Rhinolophus ferrumequinum: one gene and its partners. The protein of the gene in region 1 purifies or fractionates together with the protein of each later gene. This does not show direct contact. Links are inferred from orthologs where the notes say so. Each region holds a gene or a part of one and is shown in the gene's direction. Other genes may lie near its edges.

What was found.
Region 2: the proteins of POLR2B (region 1) and MED19 purify together in Homo sapiens (affinity purification with mass spectrometry; 4 studies listed by BioGRID and IntAct, with this or other methods). This does not show direct contact. The link is inferred for Rhinolophus ferrumequinum from reciprocal best matches to the Homo sapiens genes POLR2B and MED19.
Region 3: the proteins of POLR2B (region 1) and GPN1 purify together in Homo sapiens (affinity purification with mass spectrometry; 4 studies listed by BioGRID and IntAct, with this or other methods). This does not show direct contact. The link is inferred for Rhinolophus ferrumequinum from reciprocal best matches to the Homo sapiens genes POLR2B and GPN1.

What each region holds. Positions count from the first base shown.
Region 1 is NC_046288.1:18,687,605-18,695,631, forward strand, and holds the start of POLR2B (DNA-directed RNA polymerase II subunit RPB2), read left to right. Parts: upstream 1-4,615; 5' UTR 4,616-5,168; coding exon 5,169-5,187; intron 5,188-8,027. Other genes in the region: NOA1 (nitric oxide-associated protein 1), read right to left, coding at 1,360-1,565, 2,199-2,363, 3,241-4,390. UniProt on the Homo sapiens protein: Catalytic core component of RNA polymerase II (Pol II), a DNA-dependent RNA polymerase which synthesizes mRNA precursors and many functional non-coding RNAs using the four ribonucleoside triphosphates as substrates.
Region 2 is NC_046294.1:11,474,836-11,482,727, forward strand, and holds the start of MED19 (mediator of RNA polymerase II transcription subunit 19), read left to right. Parts: upstream 1-4,275; 5' UTR 4,276-4,359; coding exon 4,360-4,627; intron 4,628-7,892. Other genes in the region: TMX2 (thioredoxin-related transmembrane protein 2), read right to left, coding at 3,774-4,040. UniProt on the Homo sapiens protein: Component of the Mediator complex, a coactivator involved in the regulated transcription of nearly all RNA polymerase II-dependent genes.
Region 3 is NC_046296.1:53,152,648-53,160,500, reverse strand, and holds the start of GPN1 (GPN-loop GTPase 1), read left to right. Parts: upstream 1-4,236; 5' UTR 4,237-4,294; coding exon 4,295-4,405; intron 4,406-5,436; coding exon 5,437-5,530; intron 5,531-7,135; coding exon 7,136-7,175; intron 7,176-7,853. Other genes in the region: CCDC121 (coiled-coil domain-containing protein 121), read right to left, coding at 1,869-2,760, 3,666-4,123. UniProt on the Homo sapiens protein: Small GTPase required for proper nuclear import of RNA polymerase II (RNAPII). May act at an RNAP assembly step prior to nuclear import.

The sequences.
Region 1 (8,027 bases):
TGCCTTTCTGACTGTTTGACAAGAGGGTATACATGACTGAAGTAAGTGCTATTCCTGACCTGAGTCCAAAAGCGAAAAATGAGTTGAAGTTAAAGTGACAGAACATTATTAGAAAGCACTCCAGTTACTCTGAAGTTATGGATTGCAAAGAAGAAAAAACTGGACATAGGCAATTATGCTAGGAGGGAAAAAAAATTAAAAGAGCCATATGATTCTGATATGAGTCACCAAATGGAATACAATTCTGAGAATGAAACTGTGATCCTGATGAGGCAAGGAAGGAAAAGTACCTAAGAAACCAATGTTGTTTCACAGGTGAGATACAGAGATAATTAGGCAAATTAGAAACTAGTCAGTAACCAGATTCAAAGGAAACTGATTACAGATCTGTGGTAAGGTTGTATCCTAGATGCACACTTGAGTCCGTCAATGATTTGATGATCAAAACTGCAAATGAATAAAAAGTGACATTTACTGAGTTTGTAGGATATAGGCTGAGCTTCACACCATACAATCAAAAGTGTCCAGGAGATCCTGCCATGGATTAAAAAGATATATAATACTATTCTCAGTTATGCTCATCTGAGGGCACTTATACAAGAAATTCAGTTCTTAGTGTCAGACAAAAACAAGTTAGAAACCATTCTGAAAACGTGCCTGGATGGATGAACAGCCTGTCTCAGAGGAGGAAATAATGTCTATAGGTAGGAAATAATGACAAAGAATCAGGATTGTCAGCACAGGAAGTACTCAGGAAGTTGGATGAGCCAATGAAAGAGAAGAAAATGGGAGAGTGAGGAAAAGACAGGACATCATACTTTAAAATACCTCAAAGTCTGGCAAGGGAAACAGGCATGCATTTCATACACCTTGAGGAACAATGGGCATACGTTACAGGGAGACTGTTCAGCTCCACAAAAAGAGCAGGTCAGAGATCAAATAGGTTACCTTGGGAGGCAAGGTGACACTGCTTCAGCTGATAGTGAGTCACTCCTCACTTCAGGTCAAGCTGGACGCCCTCTTGATGGCTATGTTATAGAGGGGATTCAAGCATGGACTAGGTGGCCGGACTGCAGTGATATTTATGATTTCTTCCAACCTCAAAATCTACGCTTCTGTAAATGTCTTGCTAACTAAGGTAACAACCACAATACTGTAAGTAGGGTGTCAGCAGTGAAGCCCACCAAATGGAATACAGAACTTGATGGCATACAGATTCATTCCTGAACTGTTGCTATGAATGAATCAGAACTGAGTCTATAAGGAAAGTATACCTCCTTTCCTGTGTTCTGTCAATTAAGACGGTACTCATACAATTGAAGGTTAATCTAAAGTTTCTAAAAAACATCAAATACATACACAATTTTCTTTTGTAATTCCAGGGGTGTCATAAAACCAGTGGGCATCTTTCACATCTTGTGGGGTCAGTTCTACTCGTTTGGTGGACTTATCTGCAACCATCACAGGTTCATTTTCCATGTCAAAGGCAAGTGAATCAGCATCAAACTCAAAGGCAGCTTCATCCTTCTGTTCTTCTGAATACAAGAATGTTCTTCCAACTCGTCCTAGAATAAGTTATATTGAAGTTATTAGCCACTCCTTTAAAGCCTTTGACTCCAGACAGGTAATTCTCATGTTCAACTCAAGTTACGAAGACTAATATGGGGTATGTAAGTGAGACTACAATGATAGCTTTGCTTTTTTCTTTCTAAGTCAGTGGGAGTCAGACTCTTGTGATCATCAAGTGTGTGGCTGGCTGTGTATATCAGAGGGAGGTGGGTGGTGAGAACTGGTGGAAGTCAAACTGCATTTGTAAATGAAGGTTGAAAAGAGATAACCAATGAAAGGGGGACCATCTAATTTAGAGCTGCTGCATGGAGTCAACAACCTGTACTGGTCTTCAAGGAGCGAGGCTACATCTTTGTGGAAATTCTTCTGCTGACAATGGCTAGGTGGGCAGTTGCTTCATGATTCCTTTCCAGCATTTCTCCAAGTATCTACTGTCTCAGTTTTCTTAGCACAGTGAACTCTGGCTTTCCAAACATCCACCTTGCCTCTAAAGGGCCTCTATATTCCAGAACGAGAAAAGTAGTCTCTCCCAGCAAAAACTGGCTAGCCTCAGACAGCTGTATTTCAGGTTGCTCAACAAAGAATTTGAGCATAGATCCACCAAGAGTTTTCCTCTAGAAGATGCTTACCTACTACATAACCATGCTTTTTCAGGAGAGTAAGTTGATTTTGTTCTAGCTGACTAAGATCTTCTTCAACTTCATTTGCATTTTTTTTTAGCCTTTTTTGCCTTTCAAACATTCTGTAAGGAGTTGGGTTGCAAATAGGAAACTTCAGAAGGTTTAATGTAGTACCTGAAATATCAAAGAATACATTTTTATAAACATTGCACAAGGGAATAAAGGGAGGAAAGCTAATATTTTCAAGGAGCAACACTGTCTTGGGCACTGTAATTTATTTCACTTAACCTTCATGACAACCCTCTACAAAATTATTCTTACTTTACAGATGAGGAAATAGATTCAGAGAATGGCTCACAGGCTCAACCTGGAGGTGAATCCCAAACCCGCAGGCCTGATTTCTTTCCATCTTCACCATACTATATAAAAGTACTTCTGTGTATAATTCATAGTTTAGGACAGCAAAGAACAGCTTACCAAGCAAAATCAAACACTGGTTTCAAAGGAACAAATAATGCCATTAATTTTGCCAACTATTAAATACAAACAGGGTCATAGATGGACCCATTTCCCAGTCACAGAAGTTCCCTGAAGCCACAAAATTGACGTCTTCTAAAGCCATACATCATATTGCATTAGTGAACTATTTAAATGTTAAACATGTGTGGCAAACTGATATCATGAACTCAAGATATGAAGAGTAAGATTGAGGGGTAAAGGGAGGTTTAGAAAGTCAAAGGGTTTTTCTGGGAAACATACAAAGTAAAGCCACAAGAGAAACCTCCAAGAAAGCAGGAACTTTGCTTTGTTCTCTGGTTTATCTCCAGTGCCTAGAACAGTGACCGAAAGATAGAAGTAAATATTTCTATCAGGAAGTTACTATGATAGAAACACAAATATTTCTATCAGGAAGTTACTATGACATATACTAACTTTTCAAGCACTAAGCTGACACAGAAGAGAGGTGTGACCAAAGTAGGGAGAGAATTTTTACAGGGAAGGATCCAGACACTCCCTGGTGGCTTTAAGGGGCAGGCATCCTAAGGCTCACCAGGCCAAGGGGAGATGGTAGCTCTGTCGATTGCCTCAGCGCCCTTGGCGATGCAGTAATCCGACTCCAGGAGCGTGTTGAAGAGAGTGGACTTGCCAGCGTTGGTGGCGCCAACCAGGTAGACGTCGCCGCGGTAGCGCCAGGAGCGCTGAAGCGCAGAGATCAATTCTTCCACTCCATAGCCAGTCTTGGCGCTGATGAGCCGCACGTCCCTGAGCACGGTGCGGGACCCGGTGGAAGCGTTCCAATTCTTCTGCCCGTCCGGTGGCCCGTCCCCGCCGGGGTGCTGTGGCCCTAAGTGGCCAGGGAGCCGCAGGAGCCCGGCGCGGGCACAGTCGTCCCACAGCCGCTCCCGGAGCCGCTGTAGGTAGCCGGGAGCGTCCTGGGGAAGCAGGTCCACCTTGTTTCCCAGCACGATCAGCTGCTTGGGGCCTACCAGCGCGGGCAAGTCGGGCAGCAGGGCGTCGGGCAGATCGAGCAGGTCCACCATGTACAGCACCAGGGCGGGTCCGGGCCGCCGCAGAGCGGCGCTCACCAACTCCAGGTATTGCTCGCGGCTCACCTGCAGGCGCAGGGCGCGCCGGTGATGCACCAGCAGCCAGCAGCGCTGGCACACGGTCCGCGCCAGCCCGCCGTCGGCCTGCGCTGCCGCGCTAAGAAACTTCTCACTGGGCAGGTAGCCGGGCACGGCAGGGTCCTGGCAATGCAGCTCCGCCCCGCAGCCCGAGCAATTCAGGCCGCTCCGCGGCACCGTCGGGTCCGGGTGCCCCACGACCGGGTGCACCCGGCGGCTGGTCCGTAACTTCTGCAGCCGCCGCTCCTCCTGCCGCTGTTGCTTCTGTCGCTCCTCCTCCTCCTGCCGCTGCTGCAGCTCGCGCAGCTGCTCTTCTAGGGTCGGTGCGGGCTCCGGCTCCGGGACGTACTCGGGGAACAGAAAACGCTCCTCCATGTCATCCCTGCCTTCGTAACCCCCAGTCGCCGTCGGGCCACCAGGAAGCTCACGTCCCAGGCCCGACAGGTGCTGGGAGGAGGGGGCGGCCGCGCATCTTCTCTTGAGGAGCGGATCCCAGAGGCCATGGCACGCTACGGTGGGAACCGAACCCCGCAGCAAGGGGCACAGCAGTCTACGGGTTAGGAGTGCAGGTAGCATGGGGAACCCGGCCCTGTACCAAGGGGCGGAGCCACTTGTGCGCACGCGTACTGGGGCCCATGTGGCATATTAAACCCGAGATTAAGCCCGGAACTACCTGAAAACTGTCAGGCACTTTTCGGCTCCTCCTCCCGCATCTAATCTCGTAAATTCTCGCGATGAAAGCCCCAAGGCTTAAGAGCCCGCTCAAAGATGTGGCAAAGGTACCGGACGGAGACCTAGAGTGTGCCGGTTGGGCAGAAGAAGCTTGTGAGGGTTTGGTCACTTTCAGCCTTCTTCAATGCGCCACCAATGGCATAACCCGCCTTTAATAAGCCACGTTTTAAAAAGCACTGTTTTTCGGCTTTAAAAGTGCAAAAAGTACAACGTCGAATGCCATACGCTGACGGCCACAATGAACACTTTTTACTAATTAAGTCTCTTATTTCTTTTTTTCAGGTGTCATTATTTGTGCAATATTGAAAAACGACCAAAAACTTTTCATTGGCTGGAACCGATCTTCAGACTGTAGGAGTGGTGTGCGCAATCAGCCACCGGACCCGTAGGCCTGCAGTTTGCGCGTGCGCAATTCTAACCCTTGTCCACTTTAGCCTACCATATGCGCAGGCGCAGATCTTACGTTGGCTTCTTTGTGGGTGGCCTTTGGCGGAAGACGCAGAGTATTCTGGGAACGCCGTCGGCGGAAATTACTTTGTCTCAGGCTCCTGGTGCTGGTCGTTGGTGCGCACCGTTCTGTCTGTGATTTCAAGAGCTTAGAGTTCGGGAACCGTTTGCAAACATGTATGACGCGGACGAGGGTAGGTGACCGCTCAGAACACTCCCCGGCGACCCATCTAAGTAGGGAAACGTGGGGAGCTGGACGAATTGAGGATTGGCCTTCCTCCTAGCCCGTTGCACAAGTGTCCACAGTCATGTTCCCTGCATACCCCAGGCCGGGGACGAAGCCGGGATTACGAGAGGTGGAGGGTGCAGGGAATGTAGCATTAATATTCCCGGTCTGAGTGGCACTTGTTCCTTCCATTGTCTGCTGGATAAATCATACCTCCTTCCTGTATTGGAATAGCGTGCAGAACCCTAACATAAATTCCGTTGTTTTGACTTTGTGTGCAGTGAAGGGTTCCTTTTTTCATTTTCCTTAAGGCCAGAATTAGTGGATTTATTGAATTTATGAGCGTCAACCTGGGCCAGGCTTTGTGTTAGTCTTTGGAAATACACCGGGGACAAAAAATACAGTGTGTGGTTGGACGGGGTTGGTCTAGTTTGGCATTCCTTCAATGCTGTCATACATCTAAGGCAATTGTCTGAAAAGAGGACATTTAAATTTCCTTTTCCCACAAAATAACATAGTTCTTAGATGGTACGTGTTCTACTGAACAGGGCCAATATATCTTTTCACGTGCCGAATTAGTCATGTCTCCTGTATTTTCATTATGTATTTTTAAAGCTCCCCTTTCCATTCTCCACAGCTACTATTTCAAACTTCATTTACTTCTAGCTCCCAGCCCGTAGCCACCCTTCACATTTCTTATTACCTCAGCTACTTCAAGGAGAAACTAGAAAAACAAAAGCTTAAACTCTGCTGTTTAAATTACTCTGTGTCAATTACATCTTGAGTCTAGAAATGTATTAGCATTACTATATTCCCTTAACGCCTCTCTGAGTGGAAAAGAAATTCAAAAAATTTTTCTTAATTTAATTTTTTGATTAGGTAATGTATTTCTGTGTCTCATAAGCCAGAAAATACAAAAATGTTAGTGTCAGGTCTCTTTTCTTGCCCACCATCTCCCAGTGTGAACCCCCTTCATAGTAGGTACCCACTTGTCTTAGATTATCACTCCATAGTGTTTTATGTACATTCAAGGAAATAAGTGGGATTCTGTTGCCACCACCCACCCATAGGAACATTTACACTTTTCTGTGTTTTTTATTTTTTACGTTTTATATATATATATATATATATATATATATATATATATATATATATATGTCTATGTGTGTATATGTGTGTGTGTGTGTGTGTGTGTGTATTTATCTACCTGGGAGATTTTCATATCCATAGAGAGCATTCTCATTTCCCCCCCCCCCAATGCTACGTAGTTTGAATGGATATGCCATAACTTTAGTGTCTTATTGATGGACATTTGGGTTATTTCCCCTTTTTCTTCCCGTGGTTCAAACAGTGCTGGAATTAATAATCTTGTACTTTTTTTTGTTTAGTACAAGTATGTCTGTAGGATAATTTCTAGATGTAGAAATGTCAGGTCAAATGATATACATGTTTAACATTTTGCTAAGTGACCAGATGGTGCCAAGTGACCATGATAGTGATTGTTGTGCTTTATCCTCTCATTCGCCATGTTAATAAATAATTCTGTGGAAAAAAGAGTTACAAGTCATCCTCTTGATAAAAGTCTTCTTCAGCTTTGAGTTTACATTCCTGCCTGTGTCCTTTGTATCTTTTATTAGATTTGTCAGTTTTCAGACACTCCTTTTCAGTTGGCTTCTTTCTATGTGAATTATTAGATCTCTTTTGTCCATAAGAAAATAAGTTAAACTCTTTATTGTTTCCTTTTTTCCCAATATTTTGCCTTTGGAAGGCAAAGCTTTCCACATTTCACAGCAAGCTTCTAAAAAGAATAGGCTGTCCTTGATTCAACCCCCACCTTTCAGGTTCTCCTCAACGCACTGCAATCTAATTCTGCTCATGCCACTACATTAAAACAGCTTTTAATAAGAATATCAGTGACTTCTCAGTTGGTAAATCAGGTGGGCATTTTTAAACTTTATCCAGACCCAGTGGTATTCAATATTGTTGATGACTTCCTTCTGGAACTCCTTTCTTTTGCCAGATCACTCTGACTTAATGGCTCTTACCTATGTTGTGACTTTCCTTTTTATCCTTTTCTGTTCACATTCTTCCTGGATGATTTCATCCATTCTCCATGGCTTCATTTACCATTTTATGTGAACGACTTCTGAAAATATATTTCCAGTCCAGATGTTTTGTATGTCTAACTGCCACTAGACAGTTTCACATGGATGTCTCTCAGGCCCTTCAAACTTGTCATTATTCAAATTGGTCATTTTCCTTTCCTCATCCCCCTTCCAAAGCTGCTTCCTTTTGTGTTCTCCATCTCAGTGAATGGTATCACCCTCCTCTGTTGTTGAAATCAGAATCCAGGGCATGATTCTTGATTCTTCTTCTTCACCCCTATACCTAGTGAGTCATCAAGCCCTGGGGGTTCTATCTCCTAAACATGTCAGATCTAGTCACTACTTTGTCTCCTTGCCCAGCTTATTTCTCCAGACTCCTAAGTGGTGTGTGTACTTAAGGTTTTCTTGCCTCTCAATCCACTCTCCACTCTGTGGCCATAGTGATTTTTCAGAAATGAAAATCTGATCTAGCTACAGCCTTGCTAAAATCTTAGACTGGTTCCGCAAAGCTCTATTGGTAAAGACCAAGCTCTTTTACTACTCCCAGCTGCACGCTCTGTGCTTCAGCTACATTGGCCTTCTTTCACTCCTTGAATATCTTTTATTGTGGAGTCTTTTGCACAGGTTGTTTTTTTCTGGAATACTTTTTCTGTCTTTTTTTTTGAATACTTCTCTACCCCTCCCATTCTCAACCCCTCCTTTT
Region 2 (7,892 bases), on another chromosome or scaffold:
AAGGTTGCCAGTTCGATTCCTTGAGTCCCGCAAGGGATGGTGGGCAGCGCCCCCTGCAACTAAGATTGAACGCGGTACCTTGAGCTGAGCTGCCGCTGAGCTCCCAGATGGCTCAGTTGGTTGGAGCGTGGGCTCTCAACCACCAGGTTGCCGGTTCCTCTCCCTCAAGGGATGGTGGGCTGCGCCCGCACAACTAGCAATGGCAACTGGACCTGGAGCTGAGCTGCGCCTTCCATAATTAAGACTGAAACAATAACTTGAAGCTGAACAGCACCCTCGACAACTAAGATGGAAAGGACAACTTGACTTGGAAAAAAGTCCTGGAAGTACACACTGTTCCCCAATAAAGTCCTGTTCCCCTTCCCCAATAATAATAATAAAAAAAAAAAGCACTAAAAAAAACCCAAAAACAAACAAACAAACAAAAAACCCTGCGTCCCTTTATCCAATCATTTCTCCAAATGTATTTTCCTTTGTTGAAGATGCTATATAAGCCAGAGTGGTAAGCCTCCTCTTTGAGTCACTTATTTCTCTTTGGGTATCTCACATGTGTATGAGGTCTGACAATTAAGTTTGTGAACTTGTTGCAAGGATGTTGCTAACCTTTTTTGATATCAGAGGGATTATTCATTATGAATTTGTACCAACTGGACAGTTAACCAAGTTTACTATTTGGAAGTGCTGAAAAGCCTGCGTGAAAAAGTTACATGACCTGAACTTTTCACCAATAATTCATGGCTCTTGCTTCACGACAATGCACCAGCTCACACAGCACTGTCTGTGAGGGAGTTTTTAGCCAGTAAACAAATAACTGTATTGGAACACCCTCCCTACTCACCTGATCTGGCCCCCAATGACTTCTTTCTTCACCCGAAGATAAAAGAAATATTCAAAGGAAGACATTTTGATGACATTCAGGACATCAAGGGTAATATGACAACAGCTCTGATGGCCATTCCAGAAAAAGTTCCAAAATTGCTTTGAAGGGTGGACTAGGTGCTGGCGTCGGTGTATAGCTTCCCAAGGGGAGGACTTCAAAAGTGAACGTAGTGATATTTAGCCATGAGATATGGAGCACTTTTTCTAGGATGAGTTTGCGAACTTAATTGTCTGACCTTGTACATGAGACTTCTGTGTCTTTGTCTTTGTCTTTTATTACAGCGGTCTCAGCCAAGACCTCAGAAGGATAGAGGGAAACTATTTTTCCTCCTGTACAATACTTTAATGAAGCTCTATTACTCAGCTTCAACAGTAACATTTTGCCAAAATGCTTCCATTTCGTCTATGCTAGCCACGTTTTTTGCTGGAGAAACTAAAAGCAAATTCCAACTATATCATTTCACCTGTAAATACTTCAGTGTGTATCTCACAGATATGGACCTTTTTTTAACAAACCAAAATACCAGTATCATACCTAACACAATTAATAATTCCTTAATGTCATCTAATACTTGGTCCTTATTCAAATGATCCCAATTACCTCAAATTGTCTTTGTACAGTTGTTTGCTTAAATCAGGAACAAGCAAGCAAGATGCACACATTACTTTTGGCTGATTAAGGTCTTCCTTAGTCTCTAAAGGATAACTGCTTTTCCTTTTTACCCCAAGCTAGTTATTTGTTGAAGAAATTGAGTCAGTTGCAGTGTCAGCTTTCCCACTTTCTGGATTTGGCTGCTCGCACACTTACGGTATTTGTTCTGATGATGATCTGTCTCCCATATTTCTTGTAAAGTGGCAGTGAAATCTAGAGGTTTGAATACAATAAAACCCCAATCTTTTGCCAAAAATACATCGTAGGTGGTGCTAGATACTCTCTATTCCATCCCTTCAGAGGACCTATCAACCTTCTGTATGATGGTGTCAGTATCCACAGACAATCAATGCCTAGGTTTATTATTTCATTAGGGTTTGCTAAATGATTTTTAAATTCGATCATTCCTTCTGTATTTATTAGCTCAAATTCTCCTGTTAAGATACGAACATTCCCTTATTAATTATATGGTTATGTTGAGATAGTATACAAGAAAAGTAAAATGCTTGATTCTTTCCTTTTATTTTAAGAAAATAGAAATCAACTTTTATTCTGTTAAGCCACTGAAAATTTGAGGTTGACCTGTTATTGCTAACATTATTTACTCTAATATCCTAACTTCCCAATCACCAAGGTGATTCAGTAAAGCACAGATTTTCCAGGAAAACACTGGATATCAACCCTAAGTAGAGATGCTCCACGACTCACGATGAACCCGATAAACCCATCATTAAAATTGAAAATATCATAAGTTGAAAAGGTATTTAATACTACACAATAGAGTATCGGTTGTTCACCCTCTTGAAGGCGTGGGTAACTGGGAGCTATGGCTCAATGCCACTGGCCAGAATCACGACAGAGTATCATAAAACATACTGCTAGCCTAGAAAAAGATCAAAATTCAAAACTCGAAGCATGGTTTCTACTGAATGTATATCACTTTCACACCACTCTAAAGTTGAAAAATCGTAAGTCAAGGACCATCTGTAGTTAAAAGAAAATTGTACCAGAGTAATAACAAAATATAAAACCTTCCAGTATTTTGCATACTAGAGTACACAGATAAATTAATTATATAAAATGTCCTTACACTTATTGAAATCTTTATATGTGTGTGTGTGTGCGTCTGTGTGTATACTTTTTTTTTCCTTGCTGTTTTTAGAGAATGTTTATCAGTTTATTTGAGCCCAAACTGTAACAACTGCTGGGAAGCCAGACTTTAAACGCGCCCTGCATTTATATTTTTGAGTCCCACTTTGGTTAGTGGTATATAATATCAGATAAAAACAGGAATCTTTTGCAGTAGCATGGCTACACTTGAGCTAATTAATAATACTGTCTGGGAAAGGGCAGAGGAAGTATGAAAGAGTAAACAAGGGATGGAGAATAAAAGTAAGGGAGTGAGTTCTGGTAAAGTTCAAGGCTCATTTTTGGGGGGAGGAATGGAAAAAAGACAAAAAACTCAGGGTGACCCTCCTTCCTCAGAACACAGATGCTGCCATACAGCAGAGGGCGTAGAGCTTCAGTTCATTTGTCTAAGTGGTCCCTTCACTCCTACTCAGGAAGTGCAGCAAGAGGCTTGAGACAGATTTCTTTAGGATGTTTTACAATTCCTTTCCGATAAGCCTAACAATTTTATTCATTTTGGCATCCTTATTCATTTTGGCAGCCTCGGGATGCACCACAGTGCCTAGCATATAGCACTCATTCAGGAAATGTTAACGAAGAAATGGGTGATTAAGAGTGTGCAGGTCCTATGGCCAGAAGAGAGGTTCCCAATCCCAGTCACCCACTCGTTGTGTGACCTAGGGCAAGTCTCCTAATCACGCAGAAATCATTTCTTCACCAATAAAAAGGAAATACTACTACTTGCCTTGTTTATCTACCCGGCTCCTTAAGTGGCTTTACACATGAGCAGCACTGTAAAAGACTGTACATAGGTGTGTAGAGTTTGGGGAGTGCTGTTGACGAGTATGAATGGTAAGATGAAAAAAACCCTGGACTCAAGAATCAGAAGGCCCAGGCTGTTATGCAGGCTAATCTGCTGTTTTCCCATCTTAATTAAACATGAAGAAATTTAGACTCGATGACGGTCCAGGCCCCATGCTCTTAATGGTAAGTCGGCTAGAGTTTGAAAAACTCAGGTGTGAGTTCTCAAAGACGGAAACTTCGGGGCCCCTGGATGCAATAGCGGGGGAAAGGACAGTCAAGGTCGCGGGGTCCTAAGGTGGGGGTCGCTCACCCAGTCAAAGTCACACGGGTTGCCATCTTCGCGTTGCGTGGGGAGAGTGTGGCAGAGCGGGGGCAGCTTCCTCACGAGAAGGAAGGCAGCAGAGAGCAGGGCAGACAGAAGGTAGTAAGGTCGGGCCAGCCATCGTGAAAGGCGCGGCACCGAATACACCAGAGCAATTAAAGGTGCCAGGACCGCCATCTTCTTGGCCCCGGGGCGCTCGCCGCTCTTCAGGGTCGATAAGTCTGGCCCCGCCTCTCCCACCATTGAGACTTCCATTGGGCCTAGTCTCGGATGCACCGCCTCCGGACCCGGAAGTGTATCTATGATTGGCCACTACAGTAGGGAGGACCTGAAAAACGGATTTCACACTTTATTGGTCAACCTAACTGTCGTTTTTTCCACCTAAGTCATTTTATTGGATATGTGACTGTGACGAGCGGAAACAACAGAGAAATTAATAGGGTGAGATAGCACATCCTGAACGTGCTCAGAAAGCGACGGAAGTAGTTGCCGGAAAAAGTAGGCGGGCCCCAAGACATCCAATGATAAGCGGCTCACGGAGGAAGAGGGCGGTACACCGTGAAAAGATTGTCCAATGAAAACCACTAGCGCCAGACACCCGGACAGCGCCGGAGTAGAGGGGAAGATGGAGAATTTCACGGCGCTGTTCGGAGCTCAGGCTGACCCACCCCCGCCTCCAGCCGCACTCGGCTTCGGACCAGGAAAACCTCCACCCCCGCCTCCCCCTCCTCCAGGCGGGGGACCTGGCACGGCTCCGCCCCCCACCACGGTCACGGCCCCTCCCGGCGCCGACAAGTCAGCAGCTGGTTGTGGTCCCTTCTACCTAATGAGGGAACTGCCAGGTGAGTACTAGGCCTGGCCGTAGCCAGCCAATCAGATCCTAAGGAGGGGGTGATGGGCGTGGGTCTTAGCCGGCCGGCGGAGGTGCAAGGTAACCTAGACAACGCGTGTTAGGCCCTTGGAGCTCTAAGTCCAAAGGCCTCTGAGAATTCACAACCAAACCGATGACGTGAGTCTTGGGGTGGATTCAAGGTGGGAAGAGAATGCATCTCCGTAACCATTTTTCACGCTATATCCGTTCGTTGTCCCTGACACTGGTTTATTATGGTTCCCTAAAAATTATCCAGAGTGAGTTTGGAACTCGAGAGTCCCGATTCAACATCACTGTGGTCCTGAGGTTTTCGTTTCAAATCTGTCACAAACTTGCTCTTGATTTGGAACATGTTACCCTCAGGGTCTCAGCGTTTCTTCATCTGTTTGAAGAAGTGACAGAATTAAATTAAATCAGATTCTTTCAGAAAGTGATTTTGTTGAGCATTTGCTGTGTACCACTGTTCTAAATGCTGAAGATACAACTGTGAACGAGACTGACAGGATCCTTGCTTTTTTTGGAGTTTACATTTCAGTGGGGGAACGCAGAGTAAACCAGATTAACAGCAGATAGTGGTTAGTGCTACAAGGAAAAAAAACACGTCAAAGAATTAAGGGGACACAACTACTTTAGCTAAAGTGATCAGAGAAGCCCTTGCTGAGTAGGTACCATTTGAGCTAAAATGGAAGCATAGAAAAAGAGCCAGCTATGTAGGAGTGAGAGGGATAATTCTAAATACAAGAAATGAAATCAGAAGCCCTGATGTGAGAAAAAGCTTGGAAAGGATAGAAAACCATTTGGACTCCAGTGACGTGAACAGGGAAAGAGTGACAGAAGATATAGGTGGGCCAGGCAGGCAGAGGCGTTTATAAAGCATTTAGATTTTAAGTTCAGGGGGAATCCATTTTAACACAGGATGGTGACATAATCTGACTTATTTTTAATCATTCAAGCAGCTACACAAGGGATGGAATGTGAGGGAATCAATCAGAAGTTAAACTGCTCAGTAATCCAGTTAAGAGATCATGGTTTGGACTAAATGATAGCAGTAGAGGACACAAATGAATGCATACAAGATAAGTTAGAGCTGACTGGAATGAAGGACTGAATATAAAAATAAGGAAGAGAGGAGTTAAGGATGACTTGTAAATTCTTGGCCTGAATAATTGAGCGGACGGTAGTATGGAGACCAGGAAGGAACAAGTTTGAAGAGGTGCAAGTCAAGAGTCATTCTGAACAAGTTAAGACTCCAACATGCCTTTCAGTTAATCCCAAGTCCTACTGCTACATCACCAGTCGAGGGAAATAATAATGAATTTAATACGTAGAATAGCCCTCTGAAGTAGACATTATCTTCACTTTATAGTTTAAAAAACAAGTATAAAGAGGTTGACTTCCCTTTGGTTGGTTGGTGGTTGATGTCTACCAGCAGTTTCTTTATCCTTACCAGTTCTGATTGTATCTCAATTAATTGACAGATGTTGAATAGATATTCTGGACAAACGCGGGGTGTGTAGAAAGGTGGGGGCATGTGGTGAGAAGAGAGATTAAAAGCTTATTTTACTTAGGGATGCAAATTATGTGGTTTGAGGACAGTGACCATATTTCTTGTCAAGGCCAATCTCATTACTTTGTGGTCATGCCTCACATAGGGCAACTATTAAGAACTACATGATGGTTTTCAAAATGTGTTCCTTGTTATCCAAAATGACAGCAAGAAGGGTGGCCAGTTAGCTCAGTTGTTTAGAGGGTGGTGCTGGTAGCACCAAGGTTGCCAGTTCGATCCCCACATGGGCCACTGGGAGCTGTGCCCTCCTTAAAAAAAAAAAAAGATGACAGCAAGAATAAGTTGTCACTTGACTGGACTTTGAAGAATTCATGTATTGGTGAGGAATATTAGGAAGAATTTTCCTATAATTAGGTCCTAACAGAAATTTTCCTGACAGAAATTTCTTAAAAGGAAACACTATGAGGGTGTTTTGTTTTTTTTTCAGGAGATAATGGAGACCCATTTTGGATGGATCAGAAAGTTTGCATAGGGGACTGATGGTTGAGTGGGCCCCAAAGCTAAGTTACAGTAAGATGTGTTTAACCATGAGTGCCAGTCAAAGGAATTGAGCTTTTTCCTGAGAGTAATAGGAAACCACTGATTTTTGAACTGAGGAGTATTGCTTCTAAAAATATCTCGAAAATGGGTGTGCCATGTATTGAAATAGAGAAACCATCAATGAAGTGAGGAAGATTCAGAGTTTTAAAAAAAAAATAGAATCTGCATGGAATTGACTAAGTGGAAGTTGGAAATACAAGATTAGTTTTCAGGAAAGGAGTCAGGGCCGGAGAGAGAGATTTATAAATCATCTTCATAGAACTGATAGAAAGTTGGATGGACTCAGAAATAGCAAAGTGCCGTTTCACCTGAGCCTTGAGCATAACCACCTGGAAGGAGGAGAGCTGACTGGGGCGGGGGAACTCAGGACACTGTAATGGCATAAGGTAGTGCCAAGTTATGAGGAAAGGCAGTGTGGCACTGAGCCTCTGATAGTAACAGATCACTTTTCTGAGATGTTTGATATGAAAATACAGAAAAAGAATAGGGTAATGCCTAGAGGTATGAAGGGAAAAAAATTCCTTGTTCATTTAATAGTTATTGAGCACCAAGTGTGGCTGGTTTGGGCATCAGCCATACATGAGTGAACAAGGCATTGTCTGCCCTCAGGGCTCACAGTTCAGAACCTGAGTTTTCCCAAGTGAAGGATTATAAACAAGCAACTTTTGTCATTTTACCCTTTGTGTTTATCATAACTCTAGATGAACTTGTAGGCTAGATATTCCCACCCTTGCCACTGGGATCCTTATTAAATTACTAATGAGTTTACATTATTTGGCAAAAGTCAGATATACAATATTTATGCTGAGATTGCCTCACATTTATATAATACTTTATATTTTTCAGTATGTTTTCATTTGAACCTTGCAAAAAAATTTAACGCACTTAAGATAGTTATTACCACATTCCATAGATAAGAAACTGAGGCATAGAGGACATCTAGGATTAGAATTCTAGTTGCCCAGCTTCTAATCAAACATTTCTTTTTTCTAGGCAAAGCATTATACTCATTATTATGAGGAGGAATAAAGATGGTGATAATAAGTTAGACAACAGTAGCTAGAAAAATCTCCTGGCTGTTTTTTCTGTGTAAAGGTGATCAGTGTTTGGAGAGAAAAAAAAGGAAGCC
Region 3 (7,853 bases), on another chromosome or scaffold:
TCACTTGGGAAATGATTTGGTGGTAGCTCGCAAAATTGAAGATATGCCCAAAAACTCAGCAGTTTCACTTCTAGGTATATAATAGAGAAACTCCTCTTGCCCAGGTGTACCAGGCGACATAAACAAGAGTGATTACTGCAGTACAGTTTATAATAGATACTGGAAACAATGTGTAGTAGAGATTACTAGCTGTCCACCAAAATCTGCACTCAACTTGCAAAATTATAGGATTATAAGACAAATGGCTAGACCCCATTTCCCAGCCATTCACCGCAGGGAAGGGGAAGCCAACTCTCCAGTGGAACATGAGTGGAAGTGACATGTGTCACTTCCATGCTACAACTTTTAAGTGAGTGAGTGTACTTCCATGTTTGCTTTCCCTTTCCTTGGGTTAGATGCACGTGATGATGGGCTGTAGGGGATGGCAGAGCACAAAAAGGAAGAGAGTTAACTCCTTGAAGACTACTTCCGTGAAGAACTACTTGCCAACCAGGAACATCTATCAAACTATTAGATGAGCAAGAAATAAAAGTCTGTTATTTGAGACATTATGCATTCTCGGGTCTCTGTTAACCTACTCTAATGCATAACCTAATTGTCCATCATCGGGAGAAGGGATAAATTGTGACGTAGTCCTATAGTAGAACACTATACAGCTATGAAATTAACTAGAGCTTCTTGTATCATGAATATATCTCAAAAATAATGTCTGGGAAAAGCAAGTTACAGAATACATCAAGTGTACCATTTTTATAACATTTAAAAACACACGAAAATGCTCTACATTGTTTATGGATATATGTAAATATAAAAGTACAGTATATACAAATATTTATATTTAGTATATGTATTTTAATATATATAAACATAGTATGGAAACATGCACAGGAATGATAAACACCAAATTTAGTATAGTGCTGGCATCCAGAGGGACTACGAGTGAATTTGGAAGTTCTTATTTCTTAAGGTGTATAGTAAGTTTGTCATAGTTTTATATTTTTTTGTATGTCTGAAATATTTCATTTTCAAAATCAGTTAACAATCAAAAAAATATATTCTGCTTACCTCCTTCAAAGGGAAAAGTTTAGAACATTTTCTTCTGCTTCATCTTAACCTTTGATTTTTCCCTCACCCAATAGTCTGCTCCCCCCATGTCTTCACTTCTATTTCTACGATCCCAGTTGGAACCATCATCAACTCTTGCCTAGACTACAGTAGGAGCTTCTTAATTGTTTTTTTCTGCTTTTTACTGGCTTGGATTCACTCCACGTAAGAAGGTTGTAGTGAGTTTTTAAAACTGTAAATCAGACTTCATTCACGTGCTAAAAGCCTAATGGTTTCCCAGGGCACTTAGAATCTAAGTCACTCCCTTTCCTTGTTCTACAAGGCGCTTTGTGTTCCTACTGCTGACCTTTTAGCCTCATCTTCCTCTGCTCCACCCATGTTCTCTGATTATTATTCCCCAACAACATGTTAGCCACACTACCTTTCTGAACCTACCAAGCTCATTCCCATTTTAGGGCCTTTGTATTCACTCTTCCCTCTTCCTGGAATGATTTTTACCCCATTTGCATTGTATACTTCATTTTCTCATTCAAGTCTCAAACTGAAGTTTACGTCAGAGGTCTTTTCCACCTGAACACACTTTCTGTAACATCACCCTATTTAATTTCCTTCATAGCACAGCAGAAAGTAGACATCTTTATTAGCCAACCTTCACACTAAAACATCATGATGGCTATTTTACCATAGCAATGAGATCTAAAAGCCTTCCTAAGTTTATGCAGCACCTAAGAACACTTGCTCTAGTCCTTATTTAATCAGCGATATTTTAGGAATTACTGTGGGTTAATCCTTGATTTTGGTGCCTATGGGAGGGGTTCTTGTTTTTGGCGCATGCCTTGCAGTCGTTGCCTCCCCCGGATTAAGCCCTCCACATACCACTGTTCCTGCTGCAGCTGCCGCTTCTGAGTTTTGAACTGTCTTTGAGTAGTCTGCAACTTCTGGCATTGCCAGGTTTGCTGCAATAGTTCCTTCTGTAACTGCTGGTTCTCTCTGCGGACACTGCGGTACAACTCAAAAGTATAATTCTCTGCTGCCAACTCTAAGGCCTGGATCTTCCTGTTAAGCTTCTTTCCTTTTCTCTTTCCCAACTGCCTAACATCTGGCTCACTCAGTTGTTTCTCCAGTAATGCTTTTTCCTGGAGGTACTGGACCTGGATTTCCTGTTTCTTTCCAGTTGTCTCAGCTTGGACTTTTCTTTTCTCCTCCTCTAATGTCTGCATTGCTCTCTCCTGTTTCTCCTTTAATAGTGAAACGTCCCTCAATGCCTGCAACTGCTGGTTCAAATCAGATTGGATCTTGCCCTTCTGCAAGAGCTCTGTGTTAAGCTCTGATGTTTGTTTCGCATATTTGGAGGCTGATTCTTGTCTCCTTTGTTCAGTCTCCCCACTTCTTTGCAAATAGCTGTTCCACAGCTTCTCAAATTGCCTTCTATACCTCTCAGTTTTGTTGGTCAGGTATTCCAGAAAGAATTTATTTTCAGCCTGGACATGTAACTTTTCACTGAGTAGCTGCCAAGTTTCCTTCATTAGCGGTTCTTGCCAAATTTGAGCTTGTTTTATTTGCTTGTCCAGCGTCATCATTTCCACTGTCGTTTCTTTAAGCCCCATCAGTGCCATTGTTAGCTTCTCTGGCTCAAAAAAATTATTTATTAAACTAAGATACGGTGGAGGGGGACCACTGGAGTCCTCAACAAACCTGAAGGAAGAACAAGTGAGACATTCCCCCATCAGTTCTTCATTAAAATTTAGGAAATAAAAAATGCACAATTGTACTTTAATTCATACAAGAAAATATTTTGAGCACTTATTTAGTGACACTGCGAGGAGGCATGGGGTATGATATAGCTTGGGTAAAGATGAGGGAGTGTACTTTACAATTTACAATATGCATTCAGTACCGCCCTGTAATGTATCTCATTTTTATTATTAGTTTCAGGTGTACAAAACAATGTAATAGACATTTATACCCCTCACAAAGTGATAACCCCCACTCCCCCAATCTACTAGCCCTCTGACATCATATATAGCTGTTACAGTTCCATTGCCTCTATTCCTTATGCTGTACTCCACATCCTGTGACCATATATATATATATATATATATATATATATACACACACACACACACACACATATATATATATATAATTGATATTATTCAGCTTCAGATGTACACTGCAGTGGTCAGACACACCGTCCATGAAGCAGTCTCCCTAATAAGACAAGTGTCCGTGGGATACCCTATAAAATCTTTACAACATTATTGATTCTATTCCCCAACTGTCTTTTGTATCCTGGTGCCAATCTTGTGGTTATTGATTGTGCTTTCTAATCCCCTCACCTTCTCCCTCATCCCCACTTACCTCAATTTTAAAGGGAAAACAGGTTCAGGGAATTTATGACTTGGCCACGATTTACACCGCTAGCAAGTGGCAGAGCCAGCCAAGGTGTGAAACTTAGATCTATGACTTAGTTAACAACTACAAAGGGCCACCAGCACATACTCGGTGGTCGGGAGCAGGAACAAACGTCTCGGCTCTAGCACCACCTTTTCGGTTTCCCAGGACGCTTCCGTGGAGGGAAGCGCTCCTTTAGTACCTACTTGCGACTGGAATCCCAGCGTTTCTCCCCAAGGTCTAGCTGTAGTTCATTGAGGGTGACTGCCAAGGAGCTAGTGTCAGGGGACTGCGACACACGGATACAGCGTCCCGCTGAGGAAACTTTTCGCAATTTCTCGGTTCTGTGTTCAACGGGTCTGGGCGCTGCCCAGCAACCCCGTAGGTACCCAGTCCTGGCCGGTCCAGCCCTGGGCTGCTTAACTTCCGCCGAATAAACCTTAGCCTTCGTTTCTCGGTAGGCTGTGTTCCCCGCTCCTGGTGGGCGAAAAGTGAAACGCACTCTCTTTTTCGTAGTGTGGGGGTCCTGCCCTTGGGATCCTAGGTCCTCTTGTTTCCATGGGAACCAGAGCTTTGCCCTTCCCAGGCCCAATCCTAAGACCATGAGCTCCAATTTTTCTGGCCCACTCCAGTCCTCTTCCCACACTCTACACTTCCCCGCCATTGCCACTAGTTGACTCCCGAGCCAGGTCGGGACAGGAAGATGCTCTGGCGCTCGTTCGCTCTTCCCTTTCTGGCAGGTGCAGATCTACCCTCGTTCGCAGCCCAGAACATTGCGGAAGTCTCTCTAGCCACGCTGCGTCGCTATGGTAGAGGGGGCGGGGCCAGGGGAAAGATGGCGGCGTCCGCGGCTGCTGCTGCGCCGCAGGCTTCGGGGGGTCCTCGGCCCCCAGTGTGTTTGTTGGTGTTGGGAATGGCGGGATCTGGGAAAACCACTTTTGTACAGGTGACGTACACGGCGCGGGCGTAGTTGGTGTGCTTGAGGTTGTCTGTGGCGGGTGGGGGAATGGGAGGGAGGTCTCTGGGGTGTTGGAGGGGAGCAGCGCGTGGCTTTGGGGACTTGCCAGCATCTCCGGTTCCTTCCTGAGCGAAGCCTTCTCGACCTGAGCCTGGGTTAATTAACGCTCTCTTTTGTACACTATCGGTGCGTAGTACTTGGTACAACTTAAGTAGTTGTACTGGAATTGTTTTAGCGATAATATTGCCAACTCCTGGGAGGCAGAGGCTTACAAGTAAATAGTGATTAATACAGTGCTACCACCCAGACTTTCAGTGTAGATTTCTAAAGAATTACATATGTCTTGCATGCCTATTATATAATATTTTAGATGTGGATGAAAAGTAACTTCACAGGGTGATCTGATCATAAATTCCTAATGGGGCAGGTCGTGGTGAGTAGTGATGGCCCAGGCATATAACTGCTTTAGTAAAAGGTTTATCTTTGCCTTAAGCAAGCCCTGTCCATTGTTTTTGTGCATCTAGGTTGGTTAACAACACACCTTTGAAATGCCTCTTTTTCGAGAGAGCATGTAATCTTATTAACTATCCTGTAATCTGACACCCCGCCTTCTCCCACTTTTAGTTATTTAATCTTCTTTATGTTTACCTTCTTAATTCCAAATGCATAAAAGAAACTGTAAAACTGCCATTCTCAGGAGAATCTGAGATCTTGCTTCCTGGCAATTGTTGTCAAATAAACTCTTATAAATATTCTGTACGTGTTCAGTGAAAATGAGGTTGACAAGGTTCCTGCTTTCAGGAAACTACTGTTATACTGGGGGTGATAGAGAAAACCCCCACACAAAACAAGTAAATGATCAAGAGTAGGGGAGGCTCTGTTAAGTGGGTAATAAAGAAAGGTAGCATTTCAACAGAGTTCAACGTTGGAAGTGAATGTTTCAGATGGAAGGAAATGTCCTTTATCCCCTTATCATGCCCTCTTTGTCTCACTCAATCCCTCTCCCCATATTGCTGCAGAGGCTCACGGGACACCTGCATTGCCAAGGCTCTCCACCTTATGTGATCAACCTGGACCCGGCTGTGCATGAAGTTCCCTTTCCTGCCAATATTGGTAAGTAAACTGCCTCAGAATGGAAAGCCTCCAGCTTGCCAGTTTCAATGCTTTCATTTTTTCTAAACTACCGTGTTTCCCCAAAAATAAGACCTAGCTGGACCATCAGCTCTAATGCGTCTTTTGGAGCAAAAATTAATATAAGACCAGGTCTTATATAATATGATATAAGACGGGGTCTGATACGATACGATACGATACGATATACTGGGTCTTATATTAATTTTTGCTCTAAAAGATGCATTAGAGCTGATGGTCTGGCTAGGTCTTATTTTTGGGGAAACACGGTATCTACTCTCCTTTGCTTGGATTTGCTAGAATCCCTAAACAGGCTTCTCCCTTATTCACATTTTCTCTTTGTTTACTTCTTTCCCAAATGTATTTCCTTACCACTCAGCATTATTTCTCCCCTCTTTCTGACCCTAGGGTGTCAGGCTGTTGTTATTTGGGAAAATGAAGTGACAGGAAGTCAGTCCTCTCACTTCTAGGCCATAAACCCTTCAAAAGGCTTTGATACATACATATACCTTTTTAGTTTCTTTTCTTAAAGTTAGAGTATAAGGGTTTTTGTGTGGTAGTTCACTTACTGATTTGTAGGAACCTTGCTTCCACTCTCAAAGTTACATGGGAAAATGTGTGTATATATGCACATGTACATTGTTTTGGGGAAAGTTTCCCAATTATAAGACTTTAAGAGGAATCTGTGACTCTAAATAAGAATGGATGTGATTCAATGTCATGATTCTAGATAGGATCTAGGTTTCTTGATTTCTAGACTATCACTGTGTGCCAATCCTCTTCTTATTCTTCTTAAACCTATTAAGCTGCTTGTACCCCGCACAAACTAATAGAGGGCCTTGTATCAAGAAGCAGAGATTGTTTTGAGAAGAATTTGGGGAAAAATTGTTCATCTTACTCAAAGGATAGAATTCTAATTCTAATAGTTGATGGGATAGGTTTACAGACTGGTAGATGGGTTTAGTTAGATATTACTGGACAGATTCATTCTTTTTTTTAAAAATCATGTCTGCATTACCTTTGTTACCACTAAGGAATTAGTAAGAAATAAACGTTTTTTTCCTTGATTCAGCTCCCTTTTTCTATGCTTATGATCACTGACAAGGTATTTAAGTTGCATAAATCTTCTCCTGGTCTCTGACCGTCTCTACCATAACTTGAGAGCTCCTAGCCTAACATTCTTCCTGGGTTACCTGGCAGTTATCCTTTACGAGGGAGGAAACCAGTGTGAAGCTGGGGAAATTAGAAGACGATGCTGACAAGCGAATCCTAAGAGTCTAGTTTCAGTTTCTTGCTGGTAGAGAAGGTACAGGACACCTTTTGCCTTTCTATTCTTCTCTTCAAAATCTTGCTTCTTTTCAAAATCTTGCTTCTTTTGCTATCGTAATTCAATGATCTTAGCTTAAAAATTTAGGAAACAAATTTAAAAAGTAACTCAGATGCTGAGGGATAAACTTAATTTTTTTTCCTCAGAGGAAGCAGAGATGACTTGAGAGACCTATTGCTTAGAATATTATTGGTGGAAGGTCTCATGCTGTATTATTTCATATATGTTGAATTCCAGTTAATTCTTTCTTTCCCGTCCAGATATTCGTGACACTGTGAAGTATAAAGAAGTCATGAAACAGTATCCTTTTCTACATCTACTTTGGTATTGACTCATTTCTGGGTAGTTACCGTCTGTATATTTTGTGGCTTTGCAAGAGTGTTTTTTCATTTCCTTGTGAACTATACTAACAAAAGCATTTGAGTGCTTCAAAGTAATTTTATTAGGAGGATGGAAGATGGATGTGGGGAGAAGTATTGTAAGTGATTAGAAACACTATTTTAGCTTGTGTTTTCAGTTTTCTTACCATCTTCCTAGATTGCAGGCTGTTGTAGAGAGCTCAGAATGAGAGGCTAGCTGGTAGTGTGCCTAGATTCCAGAAAGTATTGTTGCCTTAAGGATCCATTGGTCACCACCTTTTCAGACTGGGAAACTCAGGAATGGGTAGGTTAGGGTAAGTATAGTCAATTCTAAATATGTTCCTGTGTGAAATACATACTTTCCCTATAGGTAAATTTAGGTCAGAAGACTAATTATAATCAGCAGGTTGCTTGATTAGCGAGGGTCAGAGCAAGGAGCCTTATATAGATGACCTTAACTGCTAATGCCAGCAGGCTGTCACTGCATGACGCATCTATTACGTTTTGCTCAGTTAATTTCGTCCTTTTGCCTGGCCATCCCTAAAGCAATAAATAAATGAGGAAAACTTTGATGATGAATGTTTCCCTATGAAGTTAAGGTTGTGTGGCATATAACAGT